Rhinolophus ferrumequinum: one gene and its partners. The main gene of each other region encodes a partner of the protein of the gene in region 2 in a complex. Links are inferred from orthologs where the notes say so. Each region holds a gene or a part of one and is shown on either strand. Other genes may lie near its edges.

Region 1 (7,707 bases), on a different chromosome or scaffold from region 2:
ATGCCACAGTCTTGCTCTGTCCACTAGGATTTCATAAGCGCCAGGAACTGTAGATGTTTAACCATGTTTTATCTCATCTATACTTCACGACAGGACAATAAAGTAAACACTATCAGTTGCAGTTTGGAAAAAGAAATGAAGGCTGAGGGAGGGTAAGTAACTTGCCCAGGGTCGCTGTTGGTATCAGAGCTGGGATTCCACCCAGTCTGTCTGAATCCAGAACCTGTATTCCTAACTATATGTACTGTCCCTACCCAGAGGCTCCTTGGTCTATTAGGATGAGAATAATCCCAGGATCTCTTGCCCTTCACAGACCCATGGCAAGCCCCAGAGGTCGGGGCTGCTACACAGGCTCCCAATCTACTCGCTTACTCCTCCCTCACTGAACCCTCACTCAACCCTGGGCTCTTACTGAGTAGTTGGGTACTGAGAGTATAGTGACAACCAGATATCAAGCTCCCCTCATTAGATAGCCCTCACTCAAAGATGACAACAACGAAGCTGCTTCTAAGTTTTTATTAACATGACTTTTTAAAAACAAGCATCCATACCAGTGTGGGGGGTGACGGTGGGAGAAGTAGGGGGTGACGAGAGGGGAGGGCAGGACAGGGGTAAGGAATTCTGCTCTATTGGTAATAAAGCTCCAGGTTCATCCCATCGTGGATTTCATCTGAAGTAAAGGTGTTAAGGAATCCTTGTGGGCTCCATCCCCACCCCTCTCATCTCTCTCAGCTGGATCACGGTGCTGAGCGCTCCACTGAGGGCCAACCAAGCCATTATGGACTCTGTCATTTTGATCTGGACAGAATCAAAACTATAAAAAAAAGTCCATGCTGCTTTTGCACAACAGACATACTGGAGTCTCACTCCACCCTGACCTCCTGTCCACACTAGGTGGAACTCAGTAATAAGTATTTTGACCTTAAAGTGTCTTCTAAACCTCAAAATATTTCACCATTCAACCACCTTCCTTCCCCAACAAAATAATTACGTGACTCCCACTTTGTAAATGCTTACCACATACTAAGTTAAGCACCTTATGTGCATAATCTCAGATAGACTCAGTATTTAACAAAGAGAACCAGGATGGGTATGTAGATCCTTCCTCAAGAAATCACACAAAGGATACAGTCCCCCAGAGAAACGTGGTCCTTAAAAATCGTGTACCTAGGGGACAAAAACCTTTCAGACAGAGACCACGGAGGCAAGCTGTGGAAGCCCTGCCTAAGCAAAGGGCTGCCTGCAGCACTCCCCCGGCCCAACAGTCCAGCCCCCAGCTCTGCCACTGCACTCACCACTTCTTTAGTACGATCTTGTTCCAACGGGTACCAGTTTGGGCTGCGATGAGCTTCTTAAGGTCCCCGATGGTGTCATCGGTGCTGGGAGCAGAGGAGTTAAGGAAAATGGAACGGGGAGGACGACACTGCAGAGCTGAACGCGCTCTGCCAGGACCCCATTCGCCCCCTCTCCCGCGTTTAACTAAAATCACCCTCAAACACACACTGAGATGCCTCATGCCAAGCACCCCACAGACTACTGCCTTTTGGCCACCCGTGGATACTTGCACTTCACGCGGACCTTCTTCCCCAGACGGTCGTTGCAAACCACCTCGATCATCCTGTCGGGAGCTACACGGGGAGGGGGTTGGGAGGCAGCAGAGTCAGGAGGTCAAGGGTCTCCCAGACCCCAAAACCTCCGGTTATTGAGACTCCTGTTCACTCCCCAAACCCCCCAGACCCGAGTCCTCCGGGGCCCAAGTTCTCGTCCCAGGACGGCGGATCCCAGGCAGCCGCGCCTCCTCCCTCAGGTCGCTTCTCGCCGGCCGGTGGACCGTAGGAGGGCGGGTCCCATTAGCTTTCCCCGACTCCGGAGCGCCCCACCTGGCCCCCCTCACCTCGAAACGCCTAGAACCTGCCGACGCCACAACCTCCTCGCTGGAGAGCAGAACCAGGACCAGGGTCTACGCTGAGAACCGGAAGCGGAAGTACGCGGCCGAAAGCGCCCGCCCCTCCTTGTGCCTATCAACATCCGGCCGGTTCTTTATCGTCCCAAACCTGGCGTGGGCTTGAGGTTCCTAGGCGCGGCTTTGGGGTCCGATCCTGGGCAGGGGGACACTGGGGTCGGTTCGCAAGGACAGGGGAAGGCGCGTGGAGGGAGAGTCAAAGGTCAGGGGCCGGCGCCCAACTCATTGAGGCCCCTTCGCTGTGGGGAGACACCGTCAGTTGGTGGGGACTCCATAGGGACCTGGGGGACATCCGAGAGGGGTGTGACCTCCCGTTCCTGAGCCCCACGAAGCCTCTTGCTGCACCAACAGGGCTACGGGGAGCCAGGTCGAGTCCTGCAATCATCCCGTCCAACTTCTTGCCCTCATTCAGGGTTGGGTCTCGGAAGCGTTTTGCTCACCCCACCCCTCTGGCAACTGCTTCTGCCCCCTCGGGCCACCTGGGGTTAATAAGCGGAGGAGCTGCCTGATCCTGACCTCTATATCAGCACTTATTAGAATGGAGTCCACGTTGGTCGCGAACCTGCAACACCGAGGAGGAAGGTGGAAACAACACACGTGCAAAAATCTCCCAGGTCTGTATCTTCAAGAAAGGTCGTCCGAGCCCTGGGCGGGGGGTGAGTGTGGTGTGTGCACTTTGTAGGAGATCTCAACCTTGCCTGGCAGCTCCTGGACTGCTGGTGTGGTTCCCCAGGGCTGGTGGGACAGAGGGGCACCTTCCCTAAGTTCTGTGGATGAAAAGGGGTGCTACGGAAAATAACCTAACAGGGTGATCTGATCATAAATTCCTAACTGGGCAGGTCATGGTGAGTAGTCATGCCCCAGACGTATGACTTTTTTAGTAAAAGGTTTATCTTTGCCTTAAGTGAGCCCCGTTCATTGTTCCTCATCTGTGGAAAGGGGATAGTAATTCCCACCCCAAGGACAGGTCCTGGACCAGCCCCTGACAGTCCTGTAAGAGTCTGTCTGTGGAAGAACAGATGCAGCAAGAGGCGAGGTTGGAAGGTCAAGGGTGAGCTGAGGGCACTGATGTGCCCAGGAAGTTTGGAAGGAGCTTGTGTTTGCATTCACATGGAAATACAGGGTCACACAAGGTGTTGATGGTGCTTACCACAAGATGGTGCACTTGTTGAGGCTTATTTTTCTCTTTGGTGCTTTTGGTGTTTCCCCAGATTATCTACAATGAACATATGTAATTGGGGAGAGAGGGGAGTAAATGTTAGCTGTTTATTTCTTTATAAATTCTAATTTCTCGGTGATTCAAAGATAGCTCAAGCACAGGATGACGATGCTGAGTTATGGGCTGGGGTGGTTTGGAAAGGGGTGGGGAGTGCTGCTGAAAGAGGAGGAAAATAAAGTCTGGATGGCTGGGAGTTTGGTCTCCATGAGCTGGGGTGGGGGGGTGAGGGGCTGCCAGCTCCAGTTGGGCAGAGCCATCCTGCGGAGGAGATGGGGTGGGGCAAAGGGAAGTCCTGGAACTAGACTGCCAAGGCTGCGCAGACTCCTTACCCTGGACCCAGGTGAGAGGGGGAGAGGCCTCAGGAGACAGGACATCTCACGTTAGTGACGCCTCCCCACCTCCTGGGAATTATAACTTGGGGCTTCCCATGAAGGGCCAGGGCAGCCCCATCCCCATCTCTGGGTGGTAGTAAGATCTGTTGTCAGAGCTGCTCCTTCTGGGGGAGGTAGGTACTTCCCAGGAGGGAGAGTTCTGGGTCAGGACCCAAAGAGCAAGCTGGGCAGGTCCCCTTCCCACCTTTGTTTCCTCGGTTTCTGACCCACAGTCAGGAGCTTGGATGTGGGGATCCCTTCCCTCTACCCTGCAGACGGGGCAGGAGATGGTTCTTAGGAACCCACTGCAACTGTGCCAAAGGCAGGGATACCTGGGTTCTGGGTTCACTAGAGGGAAATCATCTTAGGTTTGGAGGGAGTTGCTTTCCCCAACATCTTGGCCTGTCAGCAGGCCTTGGAGATACAGCAGTGACTAAGGCCGACCTGCCACCCCAGAGTTCTGATCGAAGAGGGAAGACAAGAAGACAAGTGAAGAGGTCGTTGCAATACATTGGGACAGGTGCTTTGAAGGGGAAGCCTAAGTGCTGGGAGCCAGGGAGCTTTGCCTCTGCATGCTGGCGTGGGCTTTCCAGAGGGAATCACGACTGACAGACTGTATAGAGCACTGTGGTTGAGGGCCATGTGCTGGCATCAGAAAGATCTGGGCTTATGGCCCTGGCAAGTGACTTCACCTCTGTGCAGTTCCTTTGATCTTTCCTTCCACAGTGGACAGATGGCTGCCAGAGCAGGAAGCATTTTTTCAGTGCTCTTGTTTGAGGAAAAATGTCAAACGTTTGATTTATTAATAAACATGTAGAATTTATGTTTTTTAAGGTAATACTTGCACATGGTAAAAAGTCAAGCAGTACAAAAGTATATATGCAGCACACAAAGTCTGCTTACCCTCTTGACCACAGTCCGCTCCCCAGGAACAACTACCCTTAAAAGTTTCCATTTTCTAAAGATAGTCTCTGCATCTTCAAACATGTGTGATACTGAATCTCCCAAGAAAATGATAAAACCAGATATTAATAACATGTTTCAATAGAGATAGGGACCTTGTAGTTTCAAGTAACATACAATATTTTGTTATGTCAAAGGACAGAAGCAAACAACTTAGTTTTATACAGGCCTTTATGTATACAGTGAAACACATCATAAATTGTGTATTCATTTTATTGGATATGTGTGTGTGTGTGTATGCATATAATACACACACACACATATATATATTCAGTGAGATCAAACTATATGTACTGTTCTCTACACTTTGTTTTTTCAAAAGTGAACAATATCCTATAGATTGTTCCAAGTAGCACAGAGTGACCTACCTCATTCTTTTTGACAAGCTGAGGTCCTAGAAATGGGATTGTTGAGTCCAACAAAGGCTGCAATCTGATATTGTCAAAGTGCCTTCAAAGAACTTGCCTTAGTTGTGCTCCACGTGCGGTGGTTGAGAAGGTCTGTTTCCTACACCAAGGCCAAGGTGGTATTTGCTGGCTGCTTCATCTCTTAATCTGATATGTGAAAACCATAGTGTTTTACTTTTTATTTATGGATAAATGTGAGCATATAGATCTATTGTTTACCTTTATTGTAATATAATTGATATACAAAAATTGCACACATGTAATGTATACATCTTAATGAGTCTTGCATTTCTTTTTAAAACAATTTTCAACATCTCCAATTCCTGCTTTTGCATGTGTTTATTAAAAACACCATTGTAGGCTCTTGGTGTGATTTAGCAAAACCTTTTCAAAAGCACCCGTCAAAAGTAAACTTCATGTGTCCTCTGAGCCATCAAAGTGTCTCCTGGTTATTTATCCTGCAGAAATAAAAACGTAGGCGGTGTATGTATGCATACACCTAAATACTATGAGGGAGGAAGAAACTTACTTCTACTTTCAAGGTTCTTTTTGCTGGTCTAATAATCAAATAGACATGAGACAGATTAGCAAGAGAAAATAACCAAATTTAATACATACAGTTCGCGAACTCATCTAGAAAAAGTGCTCCATACCTCATTACTGAATATCACTACGGTCACCTTTGAAGTACTCCTCTTGGGAAGCTATGCACTGATGCCAGTGCCCAGTCCACCCTTCAAAGCAATTTTGGGACTCTTTCTGGAATGGCCATCAGAGTTGTTGTGGTATTACCTCTGATGTCCTGAATGTCATCAAACTGTCTTCCTTTCACTATCTCCTTTATCTTTGAGTAAAGAAAGAAGTTATCGGGGGCCAGATCAGGTGAATAGAAAGAGTGTTCCAATACAGTTATTTGTTTCCTGGCTAAAAACTCCCTCACAGACAGTGCCGTGTGAGCTGGTGCATTGTCGTGATGCAAGAGCCATGAATTGTTGGTGAAAAGTTCAGGTCATCATTTTCAGCACTTCCACATAGTAAACTTGGTTAACTGTCCAGTTTGTGAATAATCACTCTAAAACCAAAAAAAGGTTAGCAACATTGTTGCAACAAGTTCATGAACTTAATTGTCAGAATTTTCCTATATCTGGGAACCCCACATACCTGAGAGAGCACAGACCCCACATGACCAAGTAGTACAGAGATAGCAAGGGGCATTGGGGTACATAAGACACTCTGAACTAGGGATGAGGTAAAGTGCCTTGGGGGACTGCTAAGGGTCATTACAGGATGATAAGAGCAGATATTTAGTAAACAGAAATTTGCTGATATATAAAAGAATGCCCCAGTGTTGTTTGTGGTAACAAATCTGGCAGCAACTTGAAATAAGGGAATGTTTCAATATATTTCACTACCCTTACGAATTGCTGTTTTAAAAGTAACATTTGGTGGAAGTGTCAACACAGCCTCTGTGACCAACAATTTGGCCCTATCAATCAAAACGAAAAATTCAACACGCCCTTTAACAGTTATTTCACTTCTATAAATATATCCTCGTGCATATGCATCAAAAAGTATTAAGCACTAAAAAGTAGAAGTCAAGCTCTCCGACACGTCCCCTTTCGTGGTCCCGCCCCCAACCCCGCCCTCAGGGCGCTTCATCACCTCAGCTCTGCCTCCCGGGCTCCGCCTTGGTCCCCAGCTGTGGCCTCCCAAGCCTCGTCACAGTCCTGCCCCACGGCCTGGTCACCGCCCTAGCCACGCCTCTCCAACTGGGTCTTCTTGTAGCCCCGCCTTCCGAGCTTCATCCAAGTTCAAAGCCACGTCTTAGGCGGGGCATACACAGCCCCGCTAGTCTAGCGCAGGGACTCAACCACCTTCCTGCAAAAGTGAAGCTGAAACTCTCGGCCCGCTTCCGGAGGCCGTGGCCATCGCCCTGCCGACACTCCCACTACCTCTGCCCCCTTGGAGCGCCCTCCGGGCGCGTCCCAGACATCATTTAGCCGGAAGTGAAATGCACGTCGGCGGGATCATGGCAACTTGGACAGACCTGCCGGACTCGGTGCTATTGGAGATCTTCTCTTACCTCCCGGTCCGGGACCGGATCCGCCTCTCCCGGTGCGCCCCCCGCTTGACCCTTCGCTCCCCACCCCGCCCACTCCGCGGGGAGGCCGCACTTGGAGAAGCGGATCCGGTCTCAGCGGGGTCGGGGTTGCTTTAACGGCGGGTCTCCTTCCTCAGGGTCTGTCACCGTTGGAAGAGGCTGGTGAACGACCGGTGGCTGTGGCGACACGTCGACCTGACACTCTACAAGGTAAGTGGGGCCGACCGGGCGGGCCTGGGCCGCAGTCAGGTGGCCGGACCTCCACCCTGGATTCCGAACCAGGCATACCGGGGCGCGTCCTGGCCCTGTCATTTACCTGCTACTCTGCGACCTCCCGCCTCAGTTTCCACGTCTCCAAAATGAAGATAACTGAGATTGTGCAAGGAATGGGCTTAGAGTAGTGTCTGGGATATATATAGCAAACATAATATATGCTGGCTGATGATTAGATAATCACTTATTATTGATGAGTTTTCGTGGGGAAATCATTTTTCATAGTCAGCTTATTTCCAGAATTCTCTGAGTAGTGCAGCCGAAGCTTTTCCGCTTTCTACCATTTGCATTTTATTTTTCTTGTTTTCGTTATGAATTATTTCAAATATATAGAACTGTATAGAGGATAACATGGTTTCAAATCACAAACATGTACTCACTGCTTAGCTTTAACCTATTTTAACCTTTGG
Region 2 (11,465 bases):
CAGCTCGCGCTCCCGAATGCCATCGGCCATGCCGCCCTGGTCTAAGCGGAAGGAGTGCAGGCGCTCGCCCTCGAGCTCCTCATCGTACTTGGACAGGATAGAGCGGGGTTTCTGCTGCAAAGGCAAGAGGTACAGGTTGGGACCCAGCCTGGCTCCCCAGAAGCCACAGAGCCACCCACTCCTCCCGGCCCCTACGCCGCCCGCCTGCCTGGGCCAAGTCGTCCACGCTCTCGTCCTCTGCATAGGGCAGGTAGTCGGGCTTCTTCTTCCGCAGCTCCACGTTCTTCTCAGCCCGCTCCTTATCCACGAGGTTCACATTCACCAGCACGTCCTCCTCCTCCTGCAGCACGCCTGGGGGCAGGGCAGAGGCCATTCACACACGCCCTCGACTCAGTAGCACCTTGCCCCCAACCGGATGACCCCAGCCCCCCAACCTACCCTTGTCCTTGAGGGTGAGGACCACAGTTTCCCCTTCTTGGAAGGACTCAATGGCGTGCTCCACGGTGAGGCCCTGCAGGTCCCGGGCACTGTACAGGTCCTAGAAGGGAGGGGGGAGGTCCCGCCGAGTCAGGCGCCCAAACCCCCCAGCCCTGGGATCCCAGCACCATGGACAGCAGTGCCTCCCACCACCACCCTACAACTCCCCACGGCTGCCACAGCAGCCTCACCTGCCGCCTCTGGCCGAACTCCTCCTCCACCAGAGTGCTGACACCAAACTCTTGGTCCATCTCCTCCAGCAGCTTGGCCTATGGGACAGGAGGGGGAGTGACCCAGGAGCTCAGGCCATTCAGGACCAGAAGACACGCATGGCCTTGTCAAGTGGGAGCACACAAATGGCAGGCCTTGCAGGCAAGCCGCTGAGAACCCAAAGCGGACGCCACTCCATGGACCTCCTACCTCTCTGAGCCCGGCCTCACGCCCCAGGGGTGGGATTCCTGCCTCACCAGCCTGTGAAGCCACCAGCGGCCCTGAGCAACCAACCCCGCTGCCTAGGCCCTCACCCTCTTCTCCGCCAAGTCCTTCTCCTTCTGCAGCTGCCGACTCCTCTCGATCCAGGCGGTAGTGTCATCCAGCCAGGGGTCGTCCTCCCCCAGTGCCTTGATCTTCCTGAAGTGGGAAGAAAGTGACTCTCTGGGGAGCCCCGCTCCTGCTCCCCCCACCCCGACTCCAGAGCTCCATGGCAGCCTCCTCAGACCCTTCCCTTGTCCTCCCTGGCTGGGACCCCCTTACCCTAGCTTTTGGTTCAGGAGGCGCTTTTCTTTGGCAGCTGCCAGCTTCTCTCGTAGCTCCTCTCGCTGTCGCAAGGCCATAGGATTGATGACATCGGCTGCCACGGGCTCCTCCTTGGTGCCCGCCTCTGGAAGGAGGGCCCAGACGTGAGGCTATGCCTGCCCATGGCTGGTGGGGAGAGGAGGGAGCCACTCACCCTGCCCCCTTCCAGCTCAGGTGACCAGAAGGGGCCAGGAAAGGGGGGGAAGGATCCTTTACCTCCCTACACCCACTTTATTCCGACACTCCCATGTCACCCCACACAGCATGATGGGAACCCCCTACCAGGCCTTCCAAAGCCACTCAAATCATGCTTAAGAGATAACCAACACCTGCACAGCCCCGATCAGTTTGGAGCAACTGTGCACATTTCTCAGCCCATCTACCGCTACCACACAGCCAGAGTGAGGAGCCATGCCAACTGTGCAAACTTCAAGAATAAGCTGAGCGTCAGATCCCCATGTGACAGCAAGAAGGAAGGCCCATGCCTACTGGCAAGCACACACACACATGCTCCAACCCCACTGTCTTCAAAGACCCCTCCGATGCCCTCAGCCCCATACTTACCCTTCTTGACGGCATTGACCTCCAAGGGTTTCAGCCCCAACTTTGCCCGGAGTTTACTGAGGGTAAGAGATACAAAGGTTAAGAGCTGTCAAAGAGATGGGGCACCAAATGCATTTCCGGATAGATGGGGGATGAAAACAGGACGGGGCAGAGTGGTCCTAAGGGTCCCCAACACAGGGCCTGACCCTGGAAGCCCAGGGCACTGGGAAGGACACAGGTCTCCCAATCAGGGAACACAAGTGCTCCGCCTGGCTGGCCCTAACCAGTGGAATGCCGTCCTTCCTCTAAGGCCTTAGTGTCCTCTTCTGTAACACAAACGGTGGGCTGACGTGATTTATATGGCACTTCCAATGCCAACCAGCACACTTTAGTGTGCGGAAGCCTCCCCAAGCGACTGCTCAGAAGAAAAGACTGCAAACATACAGGACACAGTACTCACTTGGTCTCCTCGATGCTGAGTGACGAGGCATCTCCTGAGCTGCTTTTGGAGCCGGTAGCTGGAACAAGAAGCACGACTCAGGAGGCGAACGCAGGGCCAAAAAGCCACAGCCTTCGCTCCGCTGCACGGCCAACGATAAGGGCCCCTCACCAGCACCCGGGGCTTGCTGAGACACCAGAACACGGCAGCCTCTTCCCACCCCAGCAAGTCCTTCTCCCTGAGTCCCAGTCTGAGAACCCCGCCTCTTCTAGATCCCTTCCTTTCCTCACCCCAAAGGTCCAACTTTCTGCATCCCACCCTTTGCCACCTCTCCACTGTTGTATATTCTGTGTTTTCAACCTGCACTGCCCTCTCTGGCCTCACTGACTGACAAGTCCTATCCAAACGCCAAGATCAATCGCCAGCTCTTCCGTGAAGTGCTTCAATTATTGACCAGAATGAACTGCCCTCCCCAAACCCCACAGCACGGTCAGTCATGTCTGGGTCTGTGGCTCTCCACAGGGCAGAGACCATGTTGGTAGCATGACCATGTCAATAAACACGTTACTGGTGCTTGTCCCCTGCTGGATGTTGGGGATACAGCAATAAAAAAGCATTTCAAACTTCCTCCACCCACCTCACAAACAGCAAATACCTTTGCTGAACACCACAGCCAGAAGCTAAAAACCGTCAGGTGGAGCTCCCCCAACCAGCTGCCACCACAAGCTCATCCTTGCTGCAACTCGCCCCCAGCCTAACTCCTCCCCTTTTATTCCACCTGGACCCTGGATCCCAACCCTTCCAGGCACTCTTCAAAGTCACCAGCTTCCTTATTTCTAAAACCAATGCATTCTTTTCAGCTCTGGTTTTGCTTGATCTCCTGTAGTGTGTGACCCGTCTTCTAACAATCCTCTTTCCACAAATCTCATGACAGAAGATTCTATGGTTTTCCTGTCTTTTTGGCTATTCTACTTCCTTTCCGGTAGCATCAGGCTCCGCTTACTACTAAAATACTGGCATTTCTCAGGCTCTAGTCCTGAGCCTGACTTCTCACTCCCCACTCTCTTCAGGAGACTTCGCATGCCACCTAACTACTCCTGACTCCCAAATTGCTGTATCCCACCCAAACCTGGTCCTCCCAGGTTTCTCCCAAGCACATCAAACACAACACTCTGCAAAACTGAATTCATTCTCTTCCCCTAAATGCCTCTTCCAAACTCAAGCTCAGTAGATGACGCCACCACCCACCTAATTGCTGACACCAAAATTTGAATCCTCAATCCCTTCTTCTCCTTCCCACCCTCATCCCACCCCCATTCCTCCTCCAAAACACTTCTTCAGTCTTTCCACATCTCTCCATCCCCCTGCTGCTGCCTTGGTGCAGGCCAGCATCAGTCCTCACCTGGTCTCGTTTTGACTACCTTTGACTTAGTTTTGGATGCAGTCAGTGATCTGTGCAAAATAGGATCAACTCACTCCCCAGCTCAACTGCACGGCTCCCTACGACCCTCAAGACAAAGTTCAAATTTCATAACAGGGCACCTCGTGTTTGGACCCCTGCGGATCTTACTGCTTCATGTCTCTACTATGAGCCCTACACGATTTGCCCAATACCTGATTTTCTCTTGCCTCTGCACACCCTGGTACCACTTCATTCAATCATTCATTCATTCACTCATTTACTCACTCACTCAACCCATTTACCGAGGACCTGTGATATGCCAGTTGAAGAAAACACAGAAAAATCTGTTCTCACAGATCTTAGGAGAGAGAAACCACCATTAATCCCAAACAATGGTAAGAGGACCCTTTAAGAAGTGCTGACTAAGAGAGCCCGCGGGTGCCACGGCCTGGAGTGCAGGGCCGGCGTCCGGCATTGCCTCCACGCCCAGGGCCTGCCAGCCCCGGGATCCCCCCGCGCACGCCTCGCCCCTCACCGGTCTCGAAGCCGTCATCGCGCTTCTCCCGCTTCACGCGCCGCTCGGAGGGCTCGGTCTGGCTACGCTCCCGCCCGTGCGCGCCGCTCCGGGTCTCGGCCTCAGCCCCGCGCCGCCCGCCCCCGCGCTCGGTTGCCCGCTCCCGGCTCCGCTTCCGTCGTTCGCCGCCGCTGCCGCCGCCGCCGCCGCTCCGATGCTTATGTTTTTTGTGTTCCCGGTGCCGCGGCGGTTGCTCGGTGGCGCCCCCGGTGCCGGCCGCCGCCGCCGTCGTGGCTGCCTCCTTCTCCCCGCGGTGCTTCTTTGACGATCCCATAGTGGTCCGGCCGCCCCGTGCCCGGCCGCCGCCGAGCCCAGACTGCGCAAAATGGGAACACTTCCGGGTCGCCCGCTGTCGTGTAGCCGGAAACCAAGAGCGGCTGCTTCCGTCCTTCGCTTCAGAGCCGGCCCCCAAAGGCTTATGGGAAGGCTGGGGTCGACGTCCGCGTGCACAAGCTCGGCCACCTCGGGCAGGGTGGTGGTCCGATTGTGCATGGGGAAGGCGGCGTCCCAGTGATGGGGAAAGTGAGCTAAAATGGTGGCCGGAGCGGAGAGAGACGTCCCCAGCCTAAGCCCCAGCCCACTTCCTCATAACCCCCTCCAAGCCACACCCGGAGCCAATCACCGGACCACACCTACCCCTTCCCCGACTGAAGGAAGTTCCTAACTCAAAAACCTGCTCAAAACCTTGCTAGGGGCTCAGTCTTTGGGAAGGATCCCGCTGAGCCCGCCGGCATAATAAAGCTGACCTTCCTAACTCTCTGAGTGCCGCTTAGGTTCTTCCGGTCTTGGTATCCGTAACATTCTTGGTTCCCTGACCTGGAAACCCAACCGCGCTGGCCCCTTGAGCCACCGGTTTGGGCCAGAGCAGACCGTAGGGTGGCGGGAGAGCCGGGGCAGGGCTAGGCGCGCCCTGCTCATTTCCGCCGGCCCGGGACCAGCGACCTCCCACCAGCTCCGGCCCGTGACTCCCTGCTGGACCCCAGTAGAGAGAAAGGACGGACAATCAACCAGGACATCGGACACGGTAAGACCCGGGGCCCGGGACCCAGTTAGGCCTGCCTAAGGGCAGAAGGGGAGCCTGATCACCTCCTGCTGAGTCCCACTTTGGACTCTAGTTAGGGCCATTCCGGGGGAGGGCGTCTTTCCTCCCGGAATGAATGTGTGTGTGCTTGGTCCCAAACAGGATTCTGTATGGATCCACTGCCTGTCGGCTACGGAGCTGGGGTGAGCCCCAACCTGCGTTCCATGGTAGCATCCTACGGCATATGGTGATTCGCACTCTCGGAGTGCGACCGAACCCCGGGCTTATACGGGCACACCTTAGCCAAGACGTACCCAAAGTTCCCGCGAGGAACACGGCCAGGCGGGCGCCTGATTGAGACCATTCCCTTGTCTACACTACACCGAACATCCTGGGAGGGAGTCACGGGAAGCCCAGGGTTCTAGACTGCATGTTAAAGAATTTCAGAAAAGGTTTCAGAGGCGACTAGGGGGTCAAAATGACCCCAGGACATCTCCGCACTTTATATGAACTGGAGTGGCCAAGTTTTGACGTGGAATGGCCCCCAGAAGGCACTCTTGACCTCCCCACGATTTGCCGGGTCTACATAGTTGTCACCGGGACCCCAGGATATCCATACCAGTTCCCTTACATTGACTCGTGGTTGGAAATAGGCCGAACCCTTCCTCCTTAGGTACGGTTCTACTCCAATAGTAAGGGACAGTCCAGGATCCTCATTGCACGGAACCCACAAGGCCGTGCCCAGAAAGACATGACTAAGACCATTTACCAGGGAGACCCCCACGAAGAGCCACCACCACCTCCCTACGCATCACGGCCAACGGCTGGTGCGGCCCCACCACTTCCAGACACTCCGCCTCCATCTGAGCCCCCCAGGCCGACACCCAACTTCCCAAGCCCTCCCCAGGGAGCCCCTGATCCTACACACCAACCCTCACTGGGGCCTGCTAGTTGACTTCGGTCCAAAGACCCGCCTCTGCTTCAGCTGACCCTCCAGGAGACCAGAAGCCCAGACCAAGTTGGAGATGACGGGACCCTCCAGCGAGGACACCCCGTCATCTACTACCAGCCTTTCTCCACCACTGACCTGTTGAATTGGAAACATCATACCCCAGCTTACTCGGAGAAATCGCAAGCCATGATAGATCTTATGGAATCTATCTTCCACACTCATCGCCCCACCTGGGAGTTCTGTCAACAGCTCCTCTGAACACTCTTCAACACCGAAGAACGCCAGCGGATCATATAGGGAGCAACGCAGTGGCTAGAAGAAGTGGCCTCTGGAGGAGTCCTGGATGCTGCCACCTGGGTGACCGAGGCTGCTCCAGACGCACGGCCTAATTGGGACTTTAACACTGAAGCAGGGAGAGGCGCAATCCGCCGATACCAAGATGCTCTCCTACGAGGGTTGCGGGCAGGAGCCCGAAAACCAACCAACATGTCCAAAACAGCCGATGTAACCCAAAACGGGGAAGAAACTCCTGGCAACTTCTGTGAACGTCTCTGTGAGGCGTTCCGGGTCTACACTCCATTTGATCCGGAAGCCCCCAAGAATCAGAGAATGATAAACACAGCCTTTGTCGCTCAGGCAGCTCCTGATATCTGCCGAAAACTCCAAAAACTCGAGGGGTTTGCAGGAATGAATATCCCCCAGCTCTTGGAGGTGGCTAACAAGGTCTATCAGTACCGTGAGGTTGTAGCTAAATGAGAGGCTGATAAGAGGATGAGAGGAAAAAGTAACCCTCCTCGCGGGTGCTCTCCAACAAGGAGGGGCTAGGCCCCGAAGAAAAGGGCCTCCCTGTTGGCAGACAGGCCCATGTCCTCGCGTCCCGCTAAAAGAAGACCAATGCACATATTGTAAAGAACTGGGCCATTAGAAAAACGAGTGCCCCGAACGACAGAAAGGAAAACCTCGGCCTCCCCGTGGTCCCAACCCAACCAGACCGGAGCCCGACTTCATAGGATTACCAGAAATCAAATCGGACTGAGGGGGACCGGGCTCGTTCGACCTCGGCCCCCACGAGCCCACGGTTGACTTAGATATATAGGGCCAAACAGTAACTTTTATGGTAGATACTGGAGCAGAACACTCGGTAGTCACCATGCCAGTGGCACTGCTCGGGGACTGCAGAGTTACCATAATGGGAGCCACCGGGGATCAAGCTAAGAGCCGGCCATTCTGCCAGGCTTGGACTTGTAAATTAGGAGGAAACACCATGTCGCACAAGTTCCTCTACTTACCAGACTGCCCAATCCTGCTGCTAGGACGCGACCTCCTTACCAAGTTAGGGGCACAAATCTCCTTCAAACCATCAGGTCAAGCCACCATGTCACTGCAACCCCGTCAGAGAAACTTATTCTGTCTATCACCACCCCAAGGGAAGAAGAATGGAGGCTTTCCAGGACCGGCAGTGTAGAAAAGAACCCAGAAGCCTACAGGGCCGATTTCCCAGAGGTTTGGGCTGAAGATAACCCGCCTGGGCTAGCAAAACACAAGGCTCCGGTTTTGGTGGAGCTGAGGCCTGGCGCTCAACCCCATCTCCAGGGAAGCCCGGGCAGGGATTCAAAAACCCCTCGCCCGTCTCAGAGCAGCAGGGATGCTCGTAGAGTGCCAGTCGCCATGGAATACGCCCCTCCTGCCGGTAAGGAAGTCCAGTGGAGAATACCGGCCAGTGCAAGATTTAAGAGTGATAAACCAAGCTACGGTTTCCCTACACCCCGTAGTCCCAAATCCATATACTCTCCTCAGGCAGCTGCCCCCAGAGGCCGGATGGTTCACCTGCCTGGACCTGAAAGATGCATTCTTCTGCATTCGGTTGGCGCCCCAGAGCCAATCACTGTTCACCTTTGAATGGACTGAACCTGATACCGGCTGGCAGCTCCAGCCGACATGGACTTGGCTCCCATAGGGCTTCAAAAACTCCCCAGCCCTCTTTGGGGAAGCACGAGCCTCAGATTTAGCCACCTTCCCTCGAGAAGAATACCGCTGCACTCTATTGCAATATGTGTATGATCTGCTCCTAGCCTGTGCCACCGAGACAGAGTGCCAAACCACGACATGAGTGCTCCTGTCCCACTTAGCCGAGACGGGGTATAGAGTCTCCTGGAAGAAAGCCCAGCTCTGCAGAAAACAAGTACAATACTTGGGCTTTGTCATCTCCAAAGGACAGCGGGCCCTCAGCACCGAGCGGAAGAAAGTCATCACTTCTCTCCCTCGGCCCACCAACCGGAGAGCGCTCCGTGAGTTCCTCGGGGCCGCCGGCTTCTGCCGGATCTGGATTCCTGGCTTTTCGGCAATAGCGCGGCTCTTATATGAGGCTCTAACTGGTCAAGAAAAGGCTCCCATGCTATGGACAGAAGATCAAGAACACGCCTTCCAGCAGCTCAAGAGCTCACTTGGATAGGTCCCAGCCCTTGGGTTACCTGATGCTGAGAGGCCATTCCACTTATTTGTCCATGAAAAAGACAAAATAGCCTTAGGACTGCTGGCCCAAACAGTTGGACCGTGGCTCCGTCCTGTCACCTACCTCTCAAAGAAACTAGATCCGGTAGCAGCAGGTTGGCCACCATGCCTGCGGGCCCTAGCAGCCAGTCTGATTCTCATCAAAGAGACAGACAAGCTCACCTTAAGCCAGAGACTCATAGTTAAGGTACCCCACTCGGTCACCACCTTAATGAACAGTCAAGGACCCCGATGACTGTCAAATGCACGGCTGACCCAGTATCAAGGGCTACTCCTGGAAAACCCTTGGATCTCGTTAGAAACTGTGCGTGCCCTGAACCCACCCACTTTCCTGCCAACCGAGGAAGGGGATCCAGAACATGACTGTGTAGAAGTTATCAACGAGGTCTATGCCACCAGGCCCGACCTCCGGGACAGCCCCCACCCTAACCTGGACCTTACTCTGTATACGAAGGCAGCAGCTTCCTGAGGGACGGAAAACATCACGTGGGGTACACAATAACCATCACAGATGAGGTACTTGAGGCAGGGGCACTTCCATCGGGATGGTCGGCCCAACGGGCAGAACTATGGGCACGAATAAGAGCCCTCACTCTATCCGAGGGCCGAAAAGTCAACATCTACACCGACTCTCGGTATGCCTTTGCTACTGTCCATATCCACGGGGCTATATACAAAGAAGGAGGCCTTCTGACCTCGGGGGAAAAACTATTAAAAGTAAACGAGAAATCCTTAAGCTCCTACAAGCCATTTGGCTTCCCCAGCAGGTTGCAGTTATCCTTGTCGGGGCCACCAGAGAGGCAACGAGCCCTCAGCAGTCGGGAACAGGCTCGCCGACCCCACGGCCAAATCAGTGGCGATGGGAAGCCCTAGTGAACTACTCTTGGTCACTGACACCACCACCACGTCCCTCCCGCAGTACACAAAAGAAGAACTCAGATGGGCAAAGTCAGAAGGGGCCACCAGATTGCCATAAGGATGGTGGCAACTGCCCGATGGAAGACTCTTCATCCCAGCCCTGCTAGGTCCTCAAGTAACCGCCGAATATCACAAGTTAATCCACTTAGGAAAAACTGCCCTTGAGGGCCTCCTAGCCAAAAACTTCTACATTAGCCGGCTGTCAGCTCTTTGCAAGCCCATCGGAGAACGCTGCCTCACTGGTGCAAAGAACAATCCAAAGTCCAACTCTAGCCCCATCCCCGGGATTCAGAGAAGCGGTACCGCGCCTTTTGAGGACCTCGAAATCGACTTCACTGACAGGACAAACTGCCGCGGTGCTAAGTACTTGCTGGTCCTGGTCTGTACCTACTCTGGGTGCGTTGAAGCCTTCCCCACTTGGATTGAGAAGAGCTGCGAAGGAGCCAAGGTTCTCCTCACTACGGGAGATTATCCCCTGCTACGGGATTCCACTTCCTATCCACAGTGACAACGGGCCAGCTTTCATAGCAGAACTCCTCCAGACGGTAACCAGCGCCATGGGCATCAACTGGAGGCTCCATACAGCATACCGACCACAAAGCTCAGGGAAAGCTGAACGCATGAAACGTACCCTCAAGGAGACATTAGCTAAACGCCACCAGGAGACCTCGCTAGGGTGGGTAGACCTCCTACCACTAGCCATCCTTCGGGCGCGCTGCACCCCTGGCAAATCTGGATTCCCTCCCTTCGAAATTATGTTCAGGAAGCCCCCTCCCCTGCTAACCAGCCTCCCTGGCAACATTCGTCAGCTGGGGTTCTCCAGCCTCCAAAACCAGATGGCCACGCTAGGCAAGGTCCTCACATATGTACGTGCTTACATTCTGGAAAGAGCCCCCATTTCTCTCGGGGCCCCGGTACACCCCTTTACCCCGGGAGATCAAGTTTGGGTCAAAGATTGGAAGCGCAAGCCCCTCCGACCCCGGTGGACAGGCCCTCACACTGTCATACTTGTTACTCCCACCACTCTTAAAGTTTCAAGCATTGCTCCATGGATCCGTCACACTTGAGTTAAAAGAGCCCAGCTGGAGGACGACTCCTGGATCGCCCAACCTGACCCGGCCCATTCACTCCGCCTGACCCTCAAGAAACAGCCAGGAAAAGCCTCGCCGTCGTCTGCCCAGCCCCCGTCTTCACTGTTACTGGACTCCTGTTGTTTCTAGCCTTTGCTGGTCTCGTTGCATCCTCCCAACCGAGCTGGTCACCACTGGAAAAGGGACTGTTAGGGTTCTACTTCCTGTTCTGCGCTGTTTGCCTCCTCTCCCTAACCTGTCTTAGGCAGCAACCATGATTTGGCTTTTTCTCATACTATCTCTTCTCTGGGAAGGACCTCCCCTTCCTGTCTCTCAAGCTGCAGGGGAAAATTCACTGGCCACACAGCCTTTTCATACTTTACCCTCATGCCCTCGGAGTGTTACACCACAGCCTCTGTCTACTACGATGGGTCCAAGCGCTATTGGACGGGAAAAATCACTAACCCTAACTGCCTGGGCACACTAGGACGACAGGCATGTTGGACCTATCTTACCCACATCGGTCACTCTGATGGGGGAGGAATCCAGGACCTGGCCCTCGCCCAACAAATCAAAGACAGGGTCCATCAGGTTGCCAACGTCTCTGTCAGGAATCGCCCCCCTTTATTGAGGTCTCAACCTAACCTCCCTGCAGAGACTAACCCAAGTCCCTGATACCTCGCTATTCACCTGGCACCTCCTGAACACCACCTATAGCTTGTGGGCGACCACCTGGCTAAATGCCACTAACCCTGCCTCCACC
Region 3 (9,162 bases), on a different chromosome or scaffold from region 2:
GAGCGACTGCTCATGGGGACCAGACTTCCTTTTGGCGTGATGAAATGCTCTGGAACTAGATAGAGGTGATGGTTACAAAGAATGGTGAATATATTTAATGCCACCGAACTGTACGTTTTAAAATGGTTTAAGTGTTGGACCAGCCCGGTGGCTCAGGTGGTTGGAGCTCCATGCTCCTAACTCCGAAGGCTGCCGGTTTGATTCCCACGTGGGCCAGTGGGCTCTCAACCACAAGGTTGCCGTTCAACTCCTTGAATCCCGCAAGGGATGGTGGGCTGCGCCCCCTGCAACTAGCAACGGCAACTGGACCTGGAGCTGAGCTGCGCCCTCCACAACTAAGACTGAAAGGACAACTTGAAGCTGAACAGCACCCTCCACAACTAAGATTGAAAGGACAACAACTTGACTTGGGAAAAAAGTCCTGGAAGTACACACTGTTCCCCAATAAAGTCCTGTTACACTTCCCCAATAAAAACATATATATATATATATATATATATATATATATATATATATATATTATATATTAAAATAAATTAATTAATTAATTAAATTAAATGGTTTAAGTGTTAAGTTTTATGTTACCTATGTATTTTTCATCACAGTTTTTAAAAAGCCAGTGTGGAAGAATTTATGGAATGAAAAACAAACGCAAAAGAAAGACAAATGCACACAAATATATTTGCAAAGGCAGCAAAAACCTCAGAAAGGAAGAGTAAGAAATTGATAACACGGGGGCGCTTTGGGGAGGGAACCAGGATGTGGGGAGGGAGGGTGAAAGTGGGGGTGGAAGGGAGATACCGCCAACATTTCTTGCACCATGTACATCAACTACTCAGAAACAAATGTACAGACACTTGCTTTCAAAAAATCACTAGAGTTTTTTAAATTGTGGTAAAATATACATAACATAAAAAGTACCATTTTTAAGTGTACAGTTCAGTGGTATTAAATACATTCACATTGTTCTGCAACCAACATTCAGAACTCTTTTTATCTTGCAAAAGTGAAACTGCCCCCGTGAAACACTAACTCCCAACCCCCCTCCCTCAGCCCCTGGCACCCACCCTTCTATTTTCTGTCTCTATGAATCTATCGTAGGTTATTTACATAAGTGGAATCATGTAGTATTTGTCCTTTTGTGATTGGTTTAGTTCACACAGTATAATGTCCTCAAGGTTCATCCATGTTGTAGCAGGTGTCAGAGTTTCCTTCCTTTTAAAGCCTGCATAATATTCCATTGTATGGATGGACTATTTTTGTTTCTCCATCCATCTATCCATCCATCCATCAGTGGGCAATTGGGTTGCTTCCACCTTTTGGCTATTGTGAATAATGCTGCTATGAGCATTGATGTGCTAATATCTTTTAGAGACCATGCTTGCAGTTCTTTTGGCCACTCAACTTTTGTAACTTTTTTTGGAAATAGTTTAAGACTGACACAAAGTTGCAAAAAAGTAGTACAGTTTCCCTGAACCCTTAACTCTGCTTCCCCCAGCGAAATGGTCTATCTTACTAACTAACCACTGTCAAAACCAGGAAATTGACATTAAAACAATGTAATGGACTCAGGTACCACCGCTGCTTTCCCAGAGTTTTGAAACCAAGACATTTCATATGTAAAGAACTGTTCCTTTTAAATTTTTTATGAATTTTCTTAGTGAGAGAATGGAGGGCGGCAAGTATGGTGTTTAGAGCCAGCTGGCCTGAGTTCAAATTCTGCCTGGCTCATCACATGGTGCGTACTCTTAGATGAGTTATTTTCCCATTCCAAGCCTCTGTTTCCTCAACTGTAAAATGGGGATTAAATAGTGCTGCAAGCTTTTTATATTGGAATAAGTTCAGATCTACAGAAAACTTGCAAAGACAGTACAGAAACTCCCCTATGCCCCTTACCCAGCTTCCCGGAATAAGAAGATCTTATCAGATGCATTTGTACAAGAAATTGACCTGGGTACATTGTTTTTAACCAACCTCCTGATGTTGTCTGGATGTCACCAGTTCTTCCACTCATGTCCTCTCCCTGTTCGTAGACTCTGTAGAAGGAATCCCGAGTTACATGTAGTCATCACGTCTCCCCAGTCCTCTTTTGTCTGGGATGGCTCTTAGGTCTTTCCTTGTTCATGATCTTAGTCTTGGAGAGAGCTGGCCAGGCGTTCTGCAGAATGCCCTCCATGCTGGTCTGTCTGATATTCCTGCCATGATTAGAATGGGGTTATGGGTGTTTGGGGAAGACCACAGAGGTGAGATGCCCTTCTCATCTCATATTATCAGGCAGGGATCCCTGATAGCCACGACTTATCACCAAGATAAAATCTGGATCACTTGGTTCAGGTGATGAATCCTGGGGCTGCCATAACAAATGACCACAAACTTGGTGGCTTGAAACAACATAAATGGATTCTCTTCAAGTTCAGGAGGGAAGAAGTCCAAAATCAAGTGTCAGCAGGGCCACGTTCCCTCTGGGGACTCTAGGGGAGGATCTTTCATGGTCTCTTCCAGCTTCTGGGGGCGCCTGGTGTTCCTTAGCGAGTGGCTGTATCACTCCAATCTCTGCTTCTGTCTTCTCTGTGTCTCAAATCTCCCTCTGCCTTTCTCTTAGAAGGACACCAGTCATTGGATTTTGGCTCTATCCTAAATCCCAGACATCTCTTCTCATGGTCCTTAACTTAATTACATCTGAAAGGACTCTTTTTCCAAATAAGGTCACATTCACAGGTTCTGGGGGTTAGTACTTGGACATATCTTTAGGGGGTCACCCTCGACTCACTACATGTGGTATCTGCCAGGTCTCTCTACCATTTAAGTCTCTATCAAGTTACTTTTTTCCTCTTTCTCTATTCTTTAGAAGTGAGTCACTGAGTCCATCTTTGGGGGTTTTGGGGGGAGGATTTACATATAATTCTTTTTTAAAGTGTGTTGTCCAGGACCCATCAGCTCCAAGTCAGGTAGTTGTTTTAATCTCGTTGTGGAGGGTGCAGCTCACAGCGGCCCTTGCGGGGATCAAACTGGCAACCTTGGTGTTATGAGCACCGCGCTCTAACCAACTGAGCTAACCGGCCGCCCCTACATATAATTTTTAATGAATGAAAAATATTCTGTCTAGTGGATGAACCATGTTTTACTCAACCAGTTCACCGCTGTCAGACCTTTATGTTCTTTCTGCTATTTTAGAATTGGCAACATTGCTGCAAGACCTCGGCAGAGTGGTTCCCTTCATTTGCAAGACCTCAGTATAAATGTTCAGAAAAGGGCAGGACAATTTTATGGGCTTTGAGACATAATGCCAATTTTTCCCCCACTTAAAAGGAAATATATATTAACTGGTTTCACTACAACCTTGCCCTATTTTCTTTTTTTTTAGTGAAGGGTAGGGTAGTTTTTTGAGTGTGATAGGTACATTAGTCCTCATTCTTTACATTTCTGCTGTCAGAAACACAATTGAAACTGGAATTTAAAAAATAGTATTAGTACAAGGGATAGGTAAAGATAGGATTTATGAAGCATCGGATACAACTGGATCCAGGATTAAACAGGGCCAAGACTCGGAGGTGGAGAGATGGCCATTTCTGTACCTGACAAACATTACCCCAGCTCTGCAATTCCAGCATCATCCCAGGGAAGCCTTCTGATTGGTTAAGCCTGGGTCATGTGTCCATGATGAGGGGGGAGGAGGAAATATGCTCAAACTGCCTCAAATAGTGGCCCATACAACCTCTCATGTTTTTAGCTCCTACATGTCAGAATCCAGAAGGCCTAAGTGTGCAAATGAGCAATTACAATGTGGCACAAATTGGGTAATGATGAAAATCAGTGCAAGGTACTGAAGTTCAAAGTATAAGAGAGGGAATGATTTGATTTGGGGGGTCAGCCATTGAAGAGTTCATGGAGTAGCTATGCGTTAGTGCAGGTTATGACACCTGCCAGAGACAGAGTCCAAACTCTAAGTGGATTAAGCAACAAAGGACAACTTCTTGGACTCATATAAGTGGAAAGTCAGATCTAATGGTTTCAGGTATAGCTGGATCCAGGGGTTCAAACCATGCATCCCTGTCCACTGAGTAGCTCTTATGTATGTTGGATTCTTGTGTATACTGGATCCTGATGGCACTGGGCTTACACTTTCTCACTTGTAAATCTATTTCACTAAATAGGAATATCTCACTATTTCATCATCTCACTTTTAACAACCTCCATGGAAACCACTCTTCTCCCTCCCAGCCCTCAGTATCCTTCTCAAGGGAGATTCTAATTAGCCCTGGTTGGTCACATGCTATCAATTTAACCAATCACTACGGTCAGGGGGACAGAAAACTCTGATTGGCCATCTCTATGTAGAAAGGACTGACAAAAACAGAAGTTACCAGAATCCACCACAAGGGGTCACCCAAGCAGAGTTTTCAAGGATAAATAGGAGTTTGCCAGTTGGGCAAAAAGAAAAAGCCTCTGCACATAGAAAAATCTAGAAAAGTCAGAAAGGGGTGAACCAGCACAAGATTTTCTTCCTACTTCCACCACCATATTAGTGAGGGGACATATCCTGTACCCAATTTCCGTTGTTTACATCAAGTGGCCTTTACCCTGGACAAACAAGCCTTGGCTGGTCATCCTGATCCCTCTAACCCAATTATCACATCACTGTTGGGTTGGCCACTTACCAGCGTCCTGCACACATCCCAGGCCTTGCCAGCTTCCCTGGGAGCAGCCCTGAGCTGATGACAGATGGGACTTAGAGAATAAATGCCCCAGCTGCCCTGACCACGGATGGGGCCATGATGAAACATGAGTTCTTATGCTTCTCCCTGAGGTCCCCAGCTGGACAGACCCCCAGTTGCCTTTTGCACCACCTACCCTTTGGTGCCCCCTGCAGGGATCCTTCCCTCCCTGTGTCAGGTCTTCACCCCCAATGGGGGCTTCCAGGAGTCACCCGCTATGTACACTTTGTGCCCTTGAGTCCTCATCTCAGGATCTGGTTTCTGGGGGAGGGAGTGACCCCAAACTAAGACATGAAGGACAACTGTTGGTCCTGGAGTAATGGGTGCCTTGTACTTTATCTGGGTTCCACATTTGATCAATCCACACAGTAACTGGTTATAAAGATATGTCCTAACATAACGTGTAAGTTCTAAGTCCCGGTACCTGTGACTATGACCTTATTTGAAATAAGATCTTCGCAGATGTAATTAAGGATCTTGAGATGACATTATTCTGTATTTAGAGTGCGTCTATTAAGAGAAAGGAGTATCCTTATAATAGAAAGCAGAGGAAGATTTAGACAGACACAGACAACACCATGTGAAGACAGAGACAGAGATTGGAGTGATGTGTCTACAAGCCAAAGAACTACAAGAATTGCCAACAACTAGCAAAAGCCTATGGGCCTGGGCTGAATTGTTCCTCAGAACCTTCTATAGGAACCAACACTGCTGACAATTTCGATTTCAGATTTCTGAATTAAGTTCTATTGTTTTAAGCCATCCCGTTTGAGGTAATTTGTTACAGCAGCCCAAGGAAACTGATACATATGCCTATTTATTTTGTTTACTGTCTGTCGCCCCAAAGGGCTCCTAAGCCTGAGGAGGGCCAGCTTTGTCAGGTTTGTACACTTGTGTTTCTAAGAGCAGGCACATAGTAGGTGCTCAATAAATATTTATTGCACGCTTGTGCATTAAGTGCTTAGTATGTGCCAGACGCTGTCCGAAGTGCTTTCACACAGCTTAAATCGTCTCATCCTTACTGCAACCTTCTAAAGCAGACACTATCATTACATCCATTTTACAGAAGGGCAAACTAAGGATCAGAGGAGCATAGTCTAGATTCCAATTTACCAAAAGACGTGCCTTAGACAGGGATCAACTACAATAATGAGAATCAGAAGAGTAGGAGCCCGAAGTTACTTCCTAATAACCACTAAGCCTCAGTTTCTACATTTGCAAGCTGCAAAAAATAATCAGCTTTGCCCACAGCGTGGAGCCCAGAAGAGCTGTTTCACTTGCGCATGCGCCCTTACCCACAGGCTTTCGGCCCCGTTGCACGTCGCTCTGCCTCCCTTTTGCAGCACTCACTGCGGCACTTTACGGCTTTCCCCATATTCTTGGCAGAAACACGGCCCGCACCGCCCCTTGTGCTTAGCAGGCCCCGCCCTACTCCTCGGGGATTAGTTGCCAGTCCCTTTAGCCCCGTGCTGACTGGTTCGCGTTGCTGCCACTCCAGTTTAGCCTAGTGGCGCGCGGCGGTTCGGCTACTGGCGGGCGCGTGAGCGGCGGCGGCGTCGGAAGTGGCCGGCGTGCCCAGTCCCCGCCGATACCATGGTGAGGGCAGGACGATGGCAAGGTGTCGCCGGGAAGCAGGGGATGCGGCCATTGAAGGCTGTTGGGGCGGGCGCTGGGGCAGGGGCTACGCGGACCGAGCGTGCAATCCGGGCCTGATTCCTGCCCCTCGGCCTGAGGCGGGGAAACTGAGGCCGAAGAGGGCGGGAGGGGGCTCTCTCAGGCACCCAGTCTCTGGGAACTTAGAGTTGGTATCAGTATAGCGGCCTAGCTGCAGTCTTCCCATTTTGCAAACGAGGAAACAGGCCGGAGCAGGTGGGGCCCGGTGAATGCAGCAGAGTGAGTTTTCGGGCAGGGAAGTGGCCCCGAGCGCGTCCTATCCAGTCTAATCTCATGTTTGAAAGCTGGAGCGCCAGCAAGTAGGGGCCCGCCTGAGTTCTCAAATTAAGCCAATTTGGGGGATTTCAGGGTTTGCAAGGCTCCTAGAATGTTAGCACAACCCCCTATGACTGTCGTTTTCAGGCTGAAAACAGACGCAGAGAGGGGGTTTGCTTCTTTGGATCACACAGCGTGTCATTCATTCCAGTGGGAAAGGGGGCTTTTTGAGCCAGGAGTGCACTAACTGCCCCCTTCCAGTTCACAGAAGGAAAACTTGAGGCCCTGACAGAAAGCCTCCAAGGCCAAACCGCTCACACATCGTGGAAGTTCTGGATCTAGGCCAGAGTGACCATGCCCCGGTGTGTAGACAAGGAAATGGAGGCCCCCACAGAGGGATTCAAAGTTGGGTCTCCTGGAATTGCGCCTGGCCGGTCAGCACTTGAGTCCCTTTGACAGGGTTGCCGCATGTTTCTGAGAGCCAGGGGTTGGTGAGGTTTCCTGCTAGCTCCTGCTGGCTGGATCCCTCTGCTGGAGGGCAAAGTGGGCCTGAGGGAACGACTGGACGGAGCTTTGTTAAGCTCCATGGAGGCCAGAGCTTTGTTTACCCCTGATAGAGTCCCAGAGTATAGAACAGAGCCTGTGCAAAGTACAGACTCGTTTCTTTAATCCGAAGAGTGTCCACCAGTGGACCAGGCATGACACACCCTTCGTGCCCACCAGTGGACAAGGCATGCTCACACAGCAGGGCGGGAAGCAGGGGTCACGGTGTGTATGTGGGTGTGATCATTGACAGTTTCCTGAATTGGGAGCGTCAGGAAACCTTTGGGTCTAGTCCTGGATTGAGCCAGACCTGAGAACCAGACCCCAGACCTTGTGAGAAAGCCCAGAGAAAGGAATCCTGTTTCCTGAAGCTTTTCTGACTTTCCCAACTCCACAGGGTCTTGGGAAAGATCCCATCTCCCCTGAACTGGGTGTCCGGCCCGCTCCTGTTTCCCTTGATCCCTTCACACGTCTTCTTCCTCTTCCCCACCAAGTTTTAAGTTTTCGGGGATCCTCCCCTTCCTCTTTTCTGTCTCCCGCCCAGTTTGGGGATGATAGTATAGAAGAAGGCAAGACATGGCCACTGCTCCACGCTGCTGCATCTGTGGAGAGCTATCCGGATGCCACCTCTCCAGCCTCTCCTTTCCTTCTTTGTGGGGTGGGGCGAGCATCCCACCCACCCCATGTACCTCCCTAGGCAGTGCGTGCGTTTCCCTCATGTATTTGTTCAGCAAATATTTACCAAGTCCCTCTCGTGTGTGTGGCCTCATGCTGGGCGCTGGACAAAGTCCACACCTTTTGAGTTTTCCAGTCTAGCAGGAGGCGTGGTGTTTCAAGTCTAGCCAGGGAGACAAGTAAACAAGATAATTAGAGACTGGCTGCGTCCTATAATGGAAACAGCAGAGGGTGGCCCAGGTGGAAACCTCATTCCTTCGATGGGGTTATGAGGACCTGGCCAAAGGAGGTGACATTTGAGGAACGACCAGCCTGCGGAAGGGAAGTGTAGGAACAAAGGTTGGGCGGCAGGACTGGATGGGCATGGTGTGTGAGGAGCAGCGTAGGCCCGTTTGCTGGACCTGGTCAGGCCTGGCCTGGTAGCCCGTCTGGGGAGTGTGTGCCAGGCAAGTCAGGGGAGGGGTGGGAGCAGGTGCTGCTGCCTTCTGCGTTTCAGATGTCCTGTCCGCTGCTTTGTGGATAGGGAATTGCCAGGACCCAAGGAGGCCGTGGGTCCTCCAGGGCGGTGCTGCCAGTAGCTGGGATGAGGTGGTAGCCTGAGAGGCTGTCGCTAGCATAGAGATTGTGAATGCCATAAAAGGACATCAGTGGTCCCCTGCTGACAAGCATCAGCCTACTTTCACCGGCTTTACCAGGACCTTGCTCTGTGTCCTTGGGCCGATCTCTCTACCTCTCTGCGCTGAGTCCATCTTCATTCTCACCTTCCAGGGCTAGCCTGACTCTGTGCCCTCTGTTGATGTAGGAGGAGGACCCGAGTGTCTCATCACCTTGGGCTTGATTCCCACTGCCCAGGAAAGCCCAAAGTTTCTCCACAGTAAAAGGCGACCTGGGTGCATGGCCCTGCATGCGGGTCTGAGCCTCCAGTTTTTCCTGTGCAGCCTAGGCGCAGAGTCACACAGGCGTACCCAAAGGAGAGGGCCGGAGCTGCAGGTTGGTCCTCGTTGGGGTCCCAGTCTGCCCACCCACCCGCCCTCCTTGGAGCAGCTGCCTCTTCTCCACATGGCCCCTTCTTCCTCCTTATCTTGCCCTTCCAGGAAGCCAGTGCAGGAAGCAGGCTTGGGCCTGGTTTCCTATCGGCGCTGGACCTCCCCTGGTGACCTCTCAGGGAAGGCCTGTGGGAAATGGGACCTGTCCCCGCCCAACAAGCCGTTCATGGGGAACCACCCTGTAGGTGTTGAGGACCATTTCTGACCTCCACTGGAGAGGCTTTCCAGTTCCACCCCGTGGAGAAACAGCTGGC

The links. Proteins that work in one complex are often made in the same cells at the same time.
Region 1: the proteins of SART1 (region 2) and UBL5 are in contact, whole or in part, in a crystal structure (PDB 4PYU), measured with the Homo sapiens proteins. The link is inferred for Rhinolophus ferrumequinum from reciprocal best matches to the Homo sapiens genes SART1 and UBL5. Residues at the interface, in NP_005137.1 of Homo sapiens: Ser117, Leu118, Ser119, Ile120, Thr123, Leu126, Arg127, Leu130, Leu132, Lys133, Leu135; in NP_001041706.1 of Homo sapiens: Met1, Glu3, Arg15, Lys17, Cys18, Asn19, Asp21, Asp22, Asp26, Lys29, Leu30, Ala33, Gln34.
Region 3: SART1 (region 2) and LSM4 share a complex: the UniProt entries of both Homo sapiens proteins name them as parts of the U4/U6-U5 tri-snRNP complex. The link is inferred for Rhinolophus ferrumequinum from reciprocal best matches to the Homo sapiens genes SART1 and LSM4.

Annotation. Positions count from the first base shown.
Region 1 is NC_046301.1:40,256,608-40,264,314, forward strand, and holds UBL5 (ubiquitin-like protein 5), read right to left. Parts: upstream 2,001-7,707; 5' UTR 1,895-2,000; intron 1,629-1,894; 5' UTR 1,618-1,628; coding exon 1,562-1,617; intron 1,380-1,561; coding exon 1,296-1,379; intron 1,168-1,295; coding exon 1,130-1,167; intron 671-1,129; coding exon 627-670; 3' UTR 501-626; downstream 1-500. Other genes in the region: FBXL12 (F-box/LRR-repeat protein 12), read left to right, coding at 6,935-7,038, 7,162-7,234. UniProt on the Homo sapiens protein: Ubiquitin-like protein that plays a role in cell proliferation and sister chromatid cohesion by associating with spliceosomal proteins. Participates thereby in pre-mRNA splicing by maintaining spliceosome integrity.
Region 2 is NC_046294.1:5,875,675-5,887,139, forward strand, and holds the start of SART1 (U4/U6.U5 tri-snRNP-associated protein 1), read right to left. Parts: upstream 4,586-11,465; 5' UTR 4,505-4,585; coding exon 4,192-4,504; intron 2,334-4,191; coding exon 2,276-2,333; intron 1,893-2,275; coding exon 1,837-1,892; intron 1,358-1,836; coding exon 1,231-1,357; intron 1,108-1,230; coding exon 1,002-1,107; intron 747-1,001; coding exon 669-746; intron 539-668; coding exon 439-538; intron 352-438; coding exon 209-351; intron 115-208; coding exon 1-114. UniProt on the Homo sapiens protein: Plays a role in mRNA splicing as a component of the U4/U6-U5 tri-snRNP, one of the building blocks of the spliceosome. May also bind to DNA.
Region 3 is NC_046301.1:51,124,288-51,133,449, reverse strand, and holds the start of LSM4 (U6 snRNA-associated Sm-like protein LSm4), read left to right. Parts: upstream 1-6,162; 5' UTR 6,163-6,308; coding exon 6,309-6,311; intron 6,312-9,162. UniProt on the Homo sapiens protein: Plays a role in pre-mRNA splicing as component of the U4/U6-U5 tri-snRNP complex that is involved in spliceosome assembly, and as component of the precatalytic spliceosome (spliceosome B complex).